2 linked regions of the Rattus norvegicus genome follow. The protein of the gene in region 1 purifies or fractionates together with the protein of each later gene. This does not show direct contact. Links are inferred from orthologs where the notes say so. Each region holds a gene or a part of one and is shown in the gene's direction. Other genes may lie near its edges. The genes, in order: Edem1 and Canx.

Region 1 (6,795 bases):
CTGCGGCTGGAGATGAAGTAGGGCTTTCTTCCTTTGGTCTCTAGTAAATGAGATCATCAAGTAGTTGACTTATTTCTTCTTTAATCATTTTCTGGCTTTGTGGTAGGTAATAGGACAGGTAACAGTCAGTGAAGTTGTGACCTGAATTTCTCAGCTACACCAGGTCCTTCTCAGTGTTTGCCCAGCCTTCCTGGATGCGTTAGTTTTCATTGTGTCATAGTTTGAGCAATGAAGAAATCCAAGGTCATCTGACAGGCTCCCTCCTTCAGTTCCTAAGATTGTGAAATGAAGCGTTTTGCAGTTGGACAGGGTTAAAGAGCCGGCATGGTTGGCAGTCAGTCTCAGAGAGTGAGGGACTTGCCATCTCTGGCATCCCCTTGAGTTTTCTTACTGCTGCTTTATACACGTGTCTCTGCTGTCCTGCAGCTGCTCATCCTGTGAGCACAGACACTGCTGCCCTTGAGAAAGAAGGCCTTCGTTACCCTGCCGTGTGCCCACAGCCGCTTTCTGGATCAAAGGCACTCTTAGCAGTTTTAGTTTCTCATGAGTGTTTCCTTTTATGGGTTTTTTTTTTTTTTTTTTTTTTTTTTTTTTTTTGGTTTCACTTTAAATGAAAATGCCTTTGTTTAGTTTTAATTCTTTCTTTTTCAGTTCAAATCTGAACATCAACGATGTACTAGGAAATTACTCTCTGACCCTGGTTGATGCCTTGGATACACTCGCAGTAAGTGTTCAGCCTTTTCTTCCTTAATTAAGATAATTAAGGTAAAGTGTTTGGGGGCCTACTGTATTTCTTCATTTCCCCAAGGAGTGGGAATTCCAGGAAATGCTGTACTCAGAAGGCTTTGATGAGTGTTATTTATTTTAATGACCTTTCTGGGAAGGCAAGAGAGCATGGAAGGTTAAGTGAGGGGACATGTGGCTCTCCTTTAAAGGTAGAGAAGAAATGTATGGCTAGATTTTAAAAAGCGTTTCTTTTCCCTTGCCATGCTAGTTATTGACTTGGAGGAGGGATCCTGTCAGATGACCTGATATTTCTTCACTGCTCAAACTATGACAAACAGTGAAACCTTATATATCCTGGAAGGCTGAACAGTCAGGTCACAGGCTGCATTAACTACTTTCCTGTTGTTGTGCTGAAACACCAGGGTGAAGAGCCAGTTGAAGGAGAGAGAGTTTCTTTAGGCTTAACGGTTCTGCAGGGTAGGCCTCAGTGCTGGGAAAAGCATGGCTGGATCAGGAAGCTGGATGATCATTCATGTTTTCCTCCACAGGCTGCACCTCCTAGAGGTTCCAAAAGGTCCCCAAATAGCACCAGCTACTGGGGAACAAGTGTTCCAATACTCGAGCCTATGAGGGATGTCTCATTCAAACTACTGTGTGTGTGTGTGTGTGTGTGTGTGTGTGTGTGTGTGTGTGTGTGTGGGTGCGCGCGCGCGCACCTTCTAGCCTGTATGTCTTTCTCCCAGAAATCAGGTCACACTTTCCAGTCACCTTTTCCCTCTGGGACAGAGCTCATATAAAAAGGATACTGTGCCTCTCAGTGGCTTCTTCTCATGTAGCTAGCTATAAGATAAGTTTATGCTCCTCCTAAGTGCCCATCGCTGTGCCCTTGGTACATAGATCAGACTAAGCTAAACTATGAAGTATGAAGCCTGCCCCAAACCCTAAGAGCCTTTAAGAATCAGAACTTCTATTTGTTTTCTGGAACTATGAGTCCAGTCTCTCCTTTTGGGACCCTGTCTCTCCTAACTGCTCTCTCTTTTTAAATGGCCTTAGCTGGAAGGCTCTCTCCTAAGGGTTCATTCTGAAGGGTAATATTCTGTTAGCCTTTTTTTAGGGACCTACTATTTTTCTTTTTAACTTGTAACACAGGGCTTCAAGAGCAAAACCCAGAAGCTTTCAAGAGAAGCTATCCTAAATGGCTTCTAGTTCCTGGCTCCTCAGGGGTGTCTGTGCAGGGTGCCTTCCCGTGCATGCAGCCCTCTCTGTGGACACCAGTTATTTCCTGCTTCTTGGTGTTGGCCGTTGTTTACCCAGCTGCATCCCGCTTTTACACCTCTCATCCCTTGGCGTCCCTCATTGATCCTTGGAAGCTGGAGATCTTGAAACATAAAGGCAAGGCATGTTCTGAAGGCGCTCAGTGTACTGGACGTGTCAGGCTGTTCAGTGCTTAATGCATAGCACCACAGAGCATGCTTTCCAGGGGACATTGCCAGTGTTCTGCAATCTCCTTAGTAACTTTACAAACTCTTGCCTGTTCTCTCTGAGTCATCTTTACTATTAGAAAGCTATTAAATCCTGCATCAAGTCCTGTATTCAGTAATTTATCTGATTCCTTTAAATGTCACCAAGACATGTCTAAAGCTGTCAGGTAGGAGTTGGAATTCGTTAAGGGAGCTAAGTTCACACCGTGACTCTCTTGTGTCTTGCTAGTAGTAGAGTTGCAGGACTCGGAGAGAGCTGGAGGTGATGTTGTCTACCTTCATTTTATGGATAGCAGAAAGAGGAGGGGGCCCTGGTTCTAATAGGGCTGCTGGGTTTCCTTCTAGGCTCTAGTCACAGAGAACTTTCAGTCTCCCAGTATTTCCTTCTGAAGTGATTGCTGCTCCATTAAGTCTCCATCATCCCTTCTCAGAATGTGCCCAGACAAGTAAGTGCAGTGTGATTAGTGCTACCGCGCTGGAGCTGCGAGAGGCTGACTCAGCCTGCTGTTGGGAAAGGAGAGTCAGAAGGTGCATGTGTGGCTTCAGAAAGCTCACCCTCGAGGGCACTCCTGTTCATCCCATCTTGTCTCTCTACCCCGTTGCTTGCTAAGGACAGAGATGCCGTCATTACTGTTTGTTGTGCTACTCCACACTTGACAGGAAGTGCTACTTAGTAGGATTGGAGATTTTTGTTTAAGTGAATATTTATAATCCAATTTTGTCCAATATCTATTCTAAGGGTGCACCTCTTGAATAGTAAAGTTCTTAAGCAAACCAGAGGAATTCTGACTTTTAGAGATCCGCATCATACAACAGCATTTTATTTATTTAATTTTTGCGTTGAGGTAAAGAAGTTATTTAATTTAAACAAATTAAGAGCATTTATTTAGTGCCTATGTGTGTGTGCTCATGATACAGCATGTCAGTGGAGGTTATAGGACAGCTTGGAGCTTGTAGGACTTAGTTCTCTCCTACCATTTGGGTTCCAGGGATCAAACTCAAGTTGTCAAACTTGGTATCAGGAGCCATCTTCCTGGCCCTGTTTATTTAATTTTTGAGACAGGGTCTCAACAGTAAGGTTCAGGATGGCCTTAAACTTGGAGTAATCTTCTTGCCTCAGCCTTGCAAATGATGTGCTTGTTTGTTTATGTTGGTGGACTTGGAAATTAATCCCAGGACTTTGCACACATGAGGCAAGTATTTTGTTCTTTTAGTCAAAGTCTCCAACTGGTGACCATCTTTATGCCTCAGCCTCCGGAGTGCTGGAATTAGGGATAGAGCTGAACGTCAGCATTTTCAAGGCTCTGAGAAGTTCCTCCTCTATCCGGTCAGTCTTTCTCAGGCCCATGCAATTCTGTGCCCTGGTTACTTTGTGCTCACTGGCTGTCTAATGTGTATAATTTGGTGTGCCTAGATTTCATCACCTTCCCCATTTTGTTCTGAGATCATATTTGCAGGTGCACCAAATACTGTTCTTGGAGAACATCTGTGAGGAAACAGACCTATTTCTGTGGTTTTTCAGAGTAGAGTAGCTGGTCTTGAACATGTTAGTGTGTTGGCTCACTTCTCATGAGGTCCTTAGGTTGAAGTTTTTCTCTTTTGTTAGCATTTTCAACAGATGTTTGCAGATAAGCTGCACGAATGCCCAGGGGAAAAGAGTCTCCAGACCATTGCATACAGTCGGAACGAGATTGCATGATCTTTTAAAAAGGAAAACTGAGAACAGAAAGCCTGTGTCTGCTCTACACCCTAGCAAATAATATGATTTGAGAAACATATTGATCAGTATTGTAAGAGATAAGACACACCCCAAAGAAGGAGTGTTTGAAGAATCATTTCTCCTTGATGTTATTATCTATTTCTCCACTTGTTTATTGGTGTCTATGTTTATGACCATAGGCAAAAATGGTTTTAAAATATGGGTGAAATCAAATTATTTCTATGTAGGTCAAACTGAGTATTTTGTGACGGTTTTGCCCTTTAAGAAGGGAGTAGGACACTGGGGTATTATATCTACACATGTCGCATAGTAACCTTAACTTTAAATTGGAAGTAGAACATATTTTGATTTTATACATTAAATATTTATTTTTCAGTACATGTGTATATATGTTTGTGTGTGAGGGCAAGCATGTGCCACAACATTTGTGTGGAGATCAGAGGGCAAACTGCTGTCTCTTTACATGGGTTCAGGGATCTGCACTCAGGTCATAGGTCAGTCAGGCTTGCATGGCAAGTGCTTCTACCCACCAAACCATTTCCCAATTTCATGCTGTTTTGGTAGTACCGTTTCTCAAAACCCTCACACATCTGGATGGAAAGCACGGTTGATTAGTTTTTCAGATGTCTTGGATTTATTTACAAAGCAGAGATAGAGTCACATTTTAATTTTCTGGCTTATTTTCTCCTATTCCATGATGTTTTAGAAACTGCCTTGTAAATCAAGGTCAGCTCAGAGCTTGGAGGAGAAGGGAGTGGGGAGACCAGACACCCCAGGGCTGGTTCTGTGTTGTTCACACAGTTGTGCCACTTGGAGCTTGGACCCTTGAGTGAGTGGTAAGAGACAGGCTTGCTGTCTGTCCTGGAGTAGAATGTGAGAAATGACTTGTGGCTTCCATTCCCACTGTGGCAAAGCCATAGGCAGTACAGACACACAGGTGCAGCGGCCGGCTGCCATTTCAGTGCCAGTTTCAAGCTGCTCTAATGTTTTGTGTTCCTCTGTTTAAAGATAATGGGAAATTCATCCGAGTTCCAGAAAGCAGTCAAGTTAGTGATCAACACCGTTTCATTTGACAAAGATTCCACCGTCCAAGTCTTTGAGGCCACGATAAGGTAACGTAGCACAGGAAATGGGTTGAAGACTTCTGGTGTATGGGTGAGGGGTGTGTGTGATTCCCGAGGGTTATTTCTTCCAGGGTCTGCATGTATGGACTCCACGTCTATTATTTATGCTCATTGTAGTTTAGTATCTATGGAAACTTGTAGTTTTGATGTGTGCATGTCATCGAGGTTTGAACTGCACAGAAACACTCATTATAGGGTCCATAAAGGAGGGTGCCCCTCAGATGCACTTCCACTGACTCCATTCATGTCCTTTCTGATTTCCTCGTTTACTGTCTCCACAGCCCTCATTCATGTTTTTAATGGAGTTCTGCATCTCTCCACTCACAAGAAACACTGCTTGCTCTTTTGATGTCTTTTCCTCCTGTATGGTTTTCACTTATCACTCACTCTTTGCTAAATATGGTGGACTCAGCCTATACCCAGTTTTGTGCCTGGGTTTCTCTAGGGTGAAAAGTTGACCCTTTCAATGTTTAAATAAAATTATATTGCTACGCAACAATCCAGATCCAGATTTGAACCTTGAAATTGAAGTTATGAAATTATTTATTCTAAAACAAGGAAAAGAAATCATTTGTTTGAAAAATCTTGCAGTCCTTTTTAGACAGTTTCGATGGGACATTTATGTATCTACAAGGCCATAAATCAGAGGGAAGCCTTCTGTTTCTCAGGATCTCCCACTTTTTCATTTCCCTCCTCAGATTGTCTCACCACACATGGGCGTGGTTCTTCAGTCTCCCTGTAGACAGTCAGACCTGCAGAAGAGTCATGGTTCCTTTTCTTAATGCCCTAAGATCAAGAAATTCATGCTTTAGGCAGAATCCTCAGTTGTCTTGAATAGATGATTCCCCTTCTTTTTGTTAGCAATGCAGTGAGCTGAAGATCAGTTACTTAGAGCCAGAGAGGACTATAGGAATCCTATATAGGATTCCTATATAGGAATCTGAATCAGGTCCTGCTGCTCCAGGCAGCTTAGGTCCTGAAAAGTAGAGTCATCTTTTGTCTTTGTAAACTGGATTCTGTACTATCATCATCATCATCATCACCATCATCATCATCACCACCACCACCACCACCACCATCATCATCATCATTTTTATTTTCTTGCTATTAGGGTTCTGGGAAGCCTCCTTTCTGCTCATAGAATAATAACTGACTCCAAACAGCCCTTTGGTGACATGACAATTGAGGATTATGATAACGAATTGTTGTACATGGCCCATGACCTGGCTGTGCGGCTTCTTCCAGCTTTTGAAAACACCAAGACAGGGATCCCCTATCCTCGGGTAAGTGACTGGTTTGTTCCGTTGTTTTGCTGGTTTTTGAGAAATGGCCTTGTGCCATGTAGCCCAGGCTGGCCTTGAACTGTGGTTTTCTTGCCTCAGCCTTCCAGGTGTTAGCATTGCAGGCATGAGTTACCAGACCTGGCCGCCTTGTTCCTTTGTGGTTCACAGTTCACTGTGTTCTTGAATTAAGACTCCTATAAAAGGGATGGGTCTGATTATAAGAACCAAGCAGTGTCCTTGGAGAAGATTTGGTCATCTTTTAGAAATCTGCATTTGGTGTTCTGCCTGAATGTCTGTGCGAGGTAACTGAGTGACAGATGGTTGTGAGCCACCATGTGGTTGCTGGGATTTGAACTCAGGACCTCTGGAAGAACAGCCAGTGCTCTTAACTGCTGAGCCATCTCTCCAGCCCCATAATATCAATTTTTAAAATTTTGAGCGTTTACTGAGTACCTTCTGTG
Region 2 (7,289 bases), on another chromosome or scaffold:
ACAAGTGTGTGTGTGTGTGTGTAGGGGGTGTGTAGGGTGTGTGTGTAATGGGTGTGTGTAGGGGGTGTGTGTAGGGTGTGTGTAATGGGTGTGTGTAGGGGGTGTGTGTAGGGTGTGTGTGTAGGGTGTGTGTGTAGGGGGAAGGAGGGGAAGGGGCTGTAGGTGCAACCCTGCTCAAGATCAGTTCTGGAATCCCAGAATCAGGAGGCAAGTTCAAGGCCGGTCACAGTTACACATCGTGTTTCTGGTTAGCCAGCACTACACTGGAAGATCCTTCCTCAACCAGTAACTGGAAGCACAAGTGTTTAGTGAGGGAAGGGAAGAGCAAGCAGGGGTCAGATGGCTCCAGAGGAAAGGACAGCCTCCATTGCAAGTGCCAGGTTGGGATGGCGTAAGGTGAGTCGGTATTCTTTTCTGCTTCACGTGTCTTTGACATAGCTACACATGTAAGTGTGTGAGCACCCGTGCATTCCTCTGTGTGTGTGTGTGTGTGTGTGTGTGTGTGTGTCCTAAGGAGGCTGAGGCAGGAAGATTTCAAATTCAAGGCCAGCTTGGCCTTTATATCGAAGTCTATCAAAAAAAATAAAAACATGAGAGACAGTTTAGATGGCTCAGCAGGTAAAGGCATTTGCCACTGGGCTGACTAGTTTTATGTCACCTTAATACAAGCTAAAGTCATTTGAGGGGAGGAACCTCAATTAAGAAAATGCCTCCGGGGCTGGAGAGATGGCTCAGTGGTTAAGGGCACTGACTGCTCTTCCTGAGGTCCTGAGTTCAAATTCTAGCAACCACATGGTGGCTCATAACCATCTGTAATGAGATCTGATGCCCTCTTCTCGTGTGTCTAAAGACAACTACAGTGTGATTATATATAATAAATAAATAAACCTTAAAAAAAGAAAATTGAGGAAGTTTCATGAACAAGCAACTAAAAGAAATCTATGTGGTCAATGCAAAATATTTAAAGTATCTGTGACAAAATAAGCTTTATTTTCAACCAATTAATTTGACAGTGTCCAATTAGTGTGTGTAGAGAGAAATGACCAATACTAGTGTAGCCAGTGAGACAAAATTGTGTGGAAACATGAGTGCTATTGCTTGCAATAGGATCTAATCAAGTAAAAGAGATTGAGGAGGAAGATATTGGAAGTGGTTTCAGTGGAAGGGTCGGGGGAGAAAGAGTTAAGACTTAGAGATTTATGTCTAATCACTTATATCTTTGCTGACTGTTCAACACTAAGCTTCTAGAAAATTTTAGATAAATAACAACATGTGTTGGATGAATAAGGTTTATCAATCCCTAAGGTCTACTCAGGTTAACACTAATTGACTTGAAGGTATATATTTACTAACTTCCTTAAGCTATTGGACAAACTGAATCTCAAAGGAAACTAATATTCTATAATGACACACCATGAAAGGGTCAGAAAACTGAGGTTCCCAGTCTGTTAGTGGACTGTACAGTTTGGGGCCATCATGTTCTCATTTTTATTAGAATTTCACATTTATTATTGTGTGTATGTGAATTTGTGTAGAGATCAGAGTACATCTCAATTCTCTTCTTCTACCATGTTGAGTTCTGGGAATCAAATTCAGGTCGTCAGGCTTGGTGGCAAGTGTCCTTACCTGCTGAGTCGTCCCCATGGCCCTCAAAACGTTTTTTGTATATAGATCTCCCAAACACCCGAGAGCCGCTTTCTTGCTTTTCTGTAGAGTTTTCTCATCTTAAGAACTTCTTTCCAACTCCACCTACAGAAAATTTGCATATCTATGAGGTTCAGGCCAAGTCTCACCTCTTTCTCTTTCTTAGAAAAGTTCTGCCTCAACTCCTCTACTCCTTCAGTACTGACATATTTTAACACCTCTCTGCAGGATTTTTTTTTTGTTCTCTTAAATTCAATGCCATCTTGGGTAACACAAGCCAGAACACCCATCCTAAACAAATTTAAATACACACACACACACACACACACACACACACACACACACACACACACACGCGCGCGCGCGCGCGCGCGCGCGTGTGTGTGTGTGTGTGTAAATTATGTGTACTTACGCGCGCGCGCGCGTGTGTGTGTGTGTGTGTGTGTGTGTGTATAAATTATGTGTACTTATGTAATGTCCGCTGTCATTGGATTCGAGGCAGCATAAAATCCCCTGGAACTGGAATTACAGGCAGTTGTGAGTGATGGGAACTGAACCTGAGTTCTCTGGAAGAGCAAGTGCTCTTGATCACTGAGCTCTCTCTATCCAGATCCTTAAGGGGATTCTTCTGCCTTAGCCTCCTAAATACCTAAGAACTGGGACTAAAGCATGTGCCAACCTGGCTTCATTTTTTTTAAACATGCTCTTTATAAGGCAAATAAGGAAAGGGATTTTCTTCTTTAAAATTAGGGAGAATTGGCGGTTACTAAATTGACCTAAACATCAAATCCTTAACTGCCTTTCTCTTGGGGTAGCAGGAACAAAGCTGGTTTCATATGTAGTTACATAGATGATAAAAATCTGTTTCTTTCTCCAGTAGTCAAAGCTTTGGGTCACCAAACACAACCAGGAGCGATCAGGATTTTCAAAGACATAGCCAAATCCATAGCCACTTCAATCTTACAGCGTTTTCACCATATTGAAAAAGGAGTGGGTTACGAAATGGCTATTTTAAATCTGCACATGGCATCACCCTGTCGCTAGAGTATGTCTGATTTTAACGCCTGAAACAGCACGGGAACATGGGAAGGTGAGTTCATGTTGCATGATTGTGACTCTAGATAGTGTTTTGTTAGGTAAAAAGGTCCCAGGTTCAGGGCGATGACTCCGCAAGACAGTGTCTGCTGCCCAGAGGGATCTCATTCGCTGCATAAGCACACTGGCCTGACCTCTCACCATTTCTGATGAAGGGCATAGGTCCCAGACAGGATTGGAACAGGGTTTCTAACTCAATGGGTGGGAAAAGGTGTCTTTTGGATGGCCACCAACACACCGGCCCTGAGGAACCAGGTCGACCCACGCGAGGACGCACGCCAAATCCGCCCGCCCTCCGGCCCGCGCACCCGCCCGTTTGGTGACGGCCGCCTTCTTTCCTCATACCCAATCAGCAACCACTTCCTGCCTCACTCTTGTCCAATCATCACGCTCCACGAAGAATAGCCCTAGGGGGCGTATGGGAAAGAGCTTTGAGCGATGGCCGTATCTACCAATAGATTCTCAGATCTTGCGCAAAGGGACGGGAGTTGACGTTTGTTGTAGCCACTCAGGAACGAGGGGCGGACGCGGGGTTGGGCTTCGTGCGGTGGGGCTCGCTCGCGCGGCGGCGGTAGCCGAGGCCTCTTAGTTCTGCGGCACGTGACGGTCGGGCCGCCTCTGCCGCTGTCTCCACTGCAGCACGGGGCCCGGTGTGCGGGTGGGAGAAGGTGAGGGAGCCGCCAGTGGTCCCCGGGAGGCTCGAGGTGAGACGGGAAGCGTGTGCGGGGACCTCAGGCCTGGGACGAGTCTGGGTGAGCGGCGGCGCGGCGGAGGGGGTCGGGCGTGGCAGGAATCTCGACGGCTGAGGGTCCGGCGGGCATTCGAGTGGCGCAGGCCCGGGCGGACGCTCAGAGCAATGAGGAGAGCGGCAGGGTTAGAGAGACTGGTCTGGGCAGCGCCGCCGGGGTCGGGAGGCGTGGCAGGTGTCCTGGGGTTTCCCTTGACCTCTGAGAAAGCTAACTACTTCCTATGGCTTTGGTTCTAGAGTTTTCTTAGGCCCTGTCCTGGCCCACCCAGAGGTGGACTGAGTAATCCGGTATAGGTGTAGTATTAGAATTAGGCCTAGTAGGTAGCCCAAATAGTAGGGAAAGGTGAAGTAAATCCATAGAGATAAGCGTTACAGTTTCAATATTAGAAAATAATATGTCCAAAGCGAAGTCTGGACCATAGCACCCCGATGAGGGAGTAGAATGTACTAGAACGTGTACCGCTTGAGAAACTTAAGGCTTAACTATTAAAGCACCTGCCTATTCGGTGATGATAGATAGTGATCCAGTGAGGGTATTCACTGGACCTTAAAAGCAGGAAATACAAGCGAAAGTTCAGTTAGTGAGTGTAGGAAACTGAGGCCTAGAAGTTTGAAATGACTGGCCCAAGGTCATACAGGTAGTTCTAATCCAGTTCGGATTGTAACTGAGGACTAGACAGTTTGGGTTTCTTAGTTAAGGTTAAAAGTCCTGGTGCAAGCTCCTAACTGCAGTTTATCGGGGGAAGTGGGATTTGGGAGATTTTCTACTTTATGGCTCAGTCCCCTAGGAGTAGACAGAATGGCTGGTCTTGTATTAAAAGGTAATGGGAATGAGAAATTGGATGTATAGTAAAGGTTCAAGGAGTAGTAATTGCACTGGCTTCTTGTAGTCGGAGTGAATGCTTTGGTCATTACACTGATATACTAATTTTTATGTTAAGTCCTGAGGGCACATTAATGACACCTTGTATATTAACTGCTGGTCATGACATTAGTGATTGCTGGTTGTGTGAAGTTAAACCGAACTGAATATTAAATGCTTGACAGAGATGAGCTACGGTTTCTTTACCCTGAGGAAATGGAAGATTCTGCCTGTTTTTTAAATAATCCTCCCCCTTTTTAAAGGGAGAAATAATTGGGTTATCTGAAAAATCTTAGTATATTTTCTAGTACCATTTGAAAGGACACGAACGGAATCGATTCTCATTTTGTACTTGAGCTGTAATTAAGCTTACAGGCCAGGCAGGGTACACAAGTGAGCCAGGCCCTGAAGAACTGTTTATAGAAGTGAACTATCCACAATAGGAGTTTACTGAGCTGTCTGAAAAATGGGTGTCTCCGCCTTGCTATCTTAACAGTGCAATTAGCTCTGTAATCTTTCAAGGGCCACAAGGCACGTGCATCTTGACAACACACCTTGCATCCATGTCCTGGAGAGGTCACTTGCCCTGCCAGAGAACTTGAAGGGAGTAGAGTGGCAGTTGGTAAGCATAACTGCAGAATACAGTGTCCAGCATAGTAGCTTTGCTTCCTGTCCTTTATAAATGGGAATGAGTCTCCTACTTGCTTTACCTTTGAGGGGGCAGCTACTAAGAAACTGCTTTGGAAAGTATAAGGAAATGGGCAAATAGAATTGGCAGCTCATAAAAAGTCCTAAGAAGTAAAGTGCCAACCAAAGATAGTTGTAGTCTGTATAACTTACTGTAAAACTCATTAGGAACATGCTTATTAAATGCTTTGTTATTGCTACAAGTGCTAGGTAAGAATTTTTAGGCTTATTTATCTAATTTTTGGTGTATGCGTGTTTTGCCTGCATGTATGTATGTGTACCAATGTGTGTGAACCATCATGTTGGTGCTGGGGATCAAACCTGGGTCCTCTGGAAGAGCAGCCAGTGCTTTTAACCAGAGCTATGTCTTCAGCTCTGAAAAATTTCCTTTTTTAAAGAATCTAGAAAATTTTCATATTGTGGTATTAATGTCTTTTTAAAAATCTCGTTAAGATTTATTTAGGTCGGGAGAGATGCTCAGCAGTTGGGAGCACTGGCTGCTCTTCCAGAGGTCCTGAGTTCAATTCCCAGCAACCACATGGTGGCTCACAGTCATCTCTAATGGGATCCAATGCTCTCTTCTGGTGTGTCTGAGGACAGTATACTTATGTGCATGAAATCACATCTTCCCTCTGGCCTTTTTTTAATTTTTTATTTTTTTATCCTTTTTTTTTCTAAAGATTTATTTATGTATGCCTGCAGGTCACAAGAGGCACCAGATCTCATTACAGATGGTTGTGAGCCACCATGTGGTTGCTGGGAATTGAACTCGGCCTCTGGAAGAGCAGTCAGTGCTCTTAACCACTGAGCCATCCCTTCAGACCCCTCTCTGGCCTTTTTTAAAAAGTTGTATATATATATTTTTTAATCTTATAAAAGATATATTTAAAAACATTTTTATGTGTATATAGGTATAATTATATACAATATATTCATGGGTGCCCGTGGAGGCCAGAAAAGGGCATTATATTCCCTGGTGTTGGAATTACAGACTGTCATAAGCTGCCCATCTGGGAACTGAACCACCTCTCCATCCTGGGTATTCACATCTTAAAGTGAATTAATATGAAAAAAGTTAATTAAAAAAATTTAGTAGATGGATGGTGTGGTAGTGGCTCACCTTTGATCTCTGCATGAGGATAGATTTCTCTCTGAGTTCAAGACCAGCCTAGTCTACAGAGTGAGTTCCAGGACATCCAAGACTGTACAGAGAAACCCTGTCTCAAGAAACAGATTATTTCTATGTTTCTGTTAATGAAAAGAGATCCAAGAAGGTGGGTATAACGCTTGCTTAGCAAGTTTGAGACCAAGGGCTTTACTCCCAGCACATGAAAGCAAAAACCCGAAATCTGACCTGTGAGTAAGGTATTACAGATCTCATTGATAGAGCGGATCACAGATCACACTGTTTCCCAGGTGTCTCCCTCCTCCCACTCCCACTCCACCCCACCCCCAAATGCTAAGGATGGAATCTAGAGCCTTGAACTTAGTCTACTACTCAGCTGTATCTCCTGACTGCCAAGGTAATCTTGAATTTCTGGGTTCACTTAATCATCCAAATTCAGGGACTACAGGAGTGTGTAATCATGCATATTTTTTATTATTTAATAGATGAGCATTTACAGCTGTATTTTTCCCTATTAAATGTTATAATTCTCACAAGATGTTTTGTTTTTTGTTTGTGTGTGCTTGTGCTGTGGCATTTAGGCTTCTTTTTGTTCTTTTTTTCGGAGCTGGGGACCGAACCCAGGGCCTTCCTAGGCAAGCGCTCTACCACTGAGCTAAATCCCCAGCCCCAGCATTTAGGCTTCTTGACAAGTACCTTTCCCCTCTATGCCTTCTCTCTGGCCTTTTTTTTTTTTTATTTTTTATTTTTTTATCCTTTTTTTTCTAAAGATTTATTTATGTATGCCTGCAGGTCACAAGAGGCACCAGATCTCATTACAGATGGTTGTGAGCCACCATGTGGTTGCTGGGAATTGAACTCGGCATTGGAAGAGCAGTCAGTGCTCTTAACCACTGAGCCATCCCTTCAGACCCCTCTCTGGCCTTTTTTAAAAAGTTGTATATATATTTTTTTAATCGTGTGTTTCTATGTGTATATACACACATGAGTGCAGAATCCCCGAGAGTGGAGTTATGGGTGATTGTGTAAGCCACTTACTGTGGGTATCAGGTCCTCTGCAAGGGCGGTAAGCACCTTTAATATCTGAGTCATCTCTCTAGCCCATATTTTAAATTTTGACAAGGTGT

The links.
Region 2: the proteins of Edem1 (region 1) and Canx purify together in Homo sapiens (affinity purification with western blotting; 6 studies listed by BioGRID and IntAct, with this or other methods). This does not show direct contact. The link is inferred for Rattus norvegicus from reciprocal best matches to the Homo sapiens genes EDEM1 and CANX.

What each region holds. Positions count from the first base shown.
Region 1 is NC_086022.1:143,361,938-143,368,732, forward strand, and holds part of Edem1 (ER degradation-enhancing alpha-mannosidase-like protein 1), read left to right. Parts: intron 1-651; coding exon 652-724; intron 725-4,935; coding exon 4,936-5,039; intron 5,040-6,162; coding exon 6,163-6,334; intron 6,335-6,795. UniProt on the Homo sapiens protein: Extracts misfolded glycoproteins, but not glycoproteins undergoing productive folding, from the calnexin cycle.
Region 2 is NC_086028.1:35,153,916-35,161,204, reverse strand, and holds the start of Canx (calnexin precursor), read left to right. Parts: upstream 1-3,347; 5' UTR 3,348-3,443; exon of another isoform or gene 3,444-3,491; intron 3,492-7,289. UniProt on the Homo sapiens protein: Calcium-binding protein that interacts with newly synthesized monoglucosylated glycoproteins in the endoplasmic reticulum. It may act in assisting protein assembly and/or in the retention within the ER of unassembled protein subunits.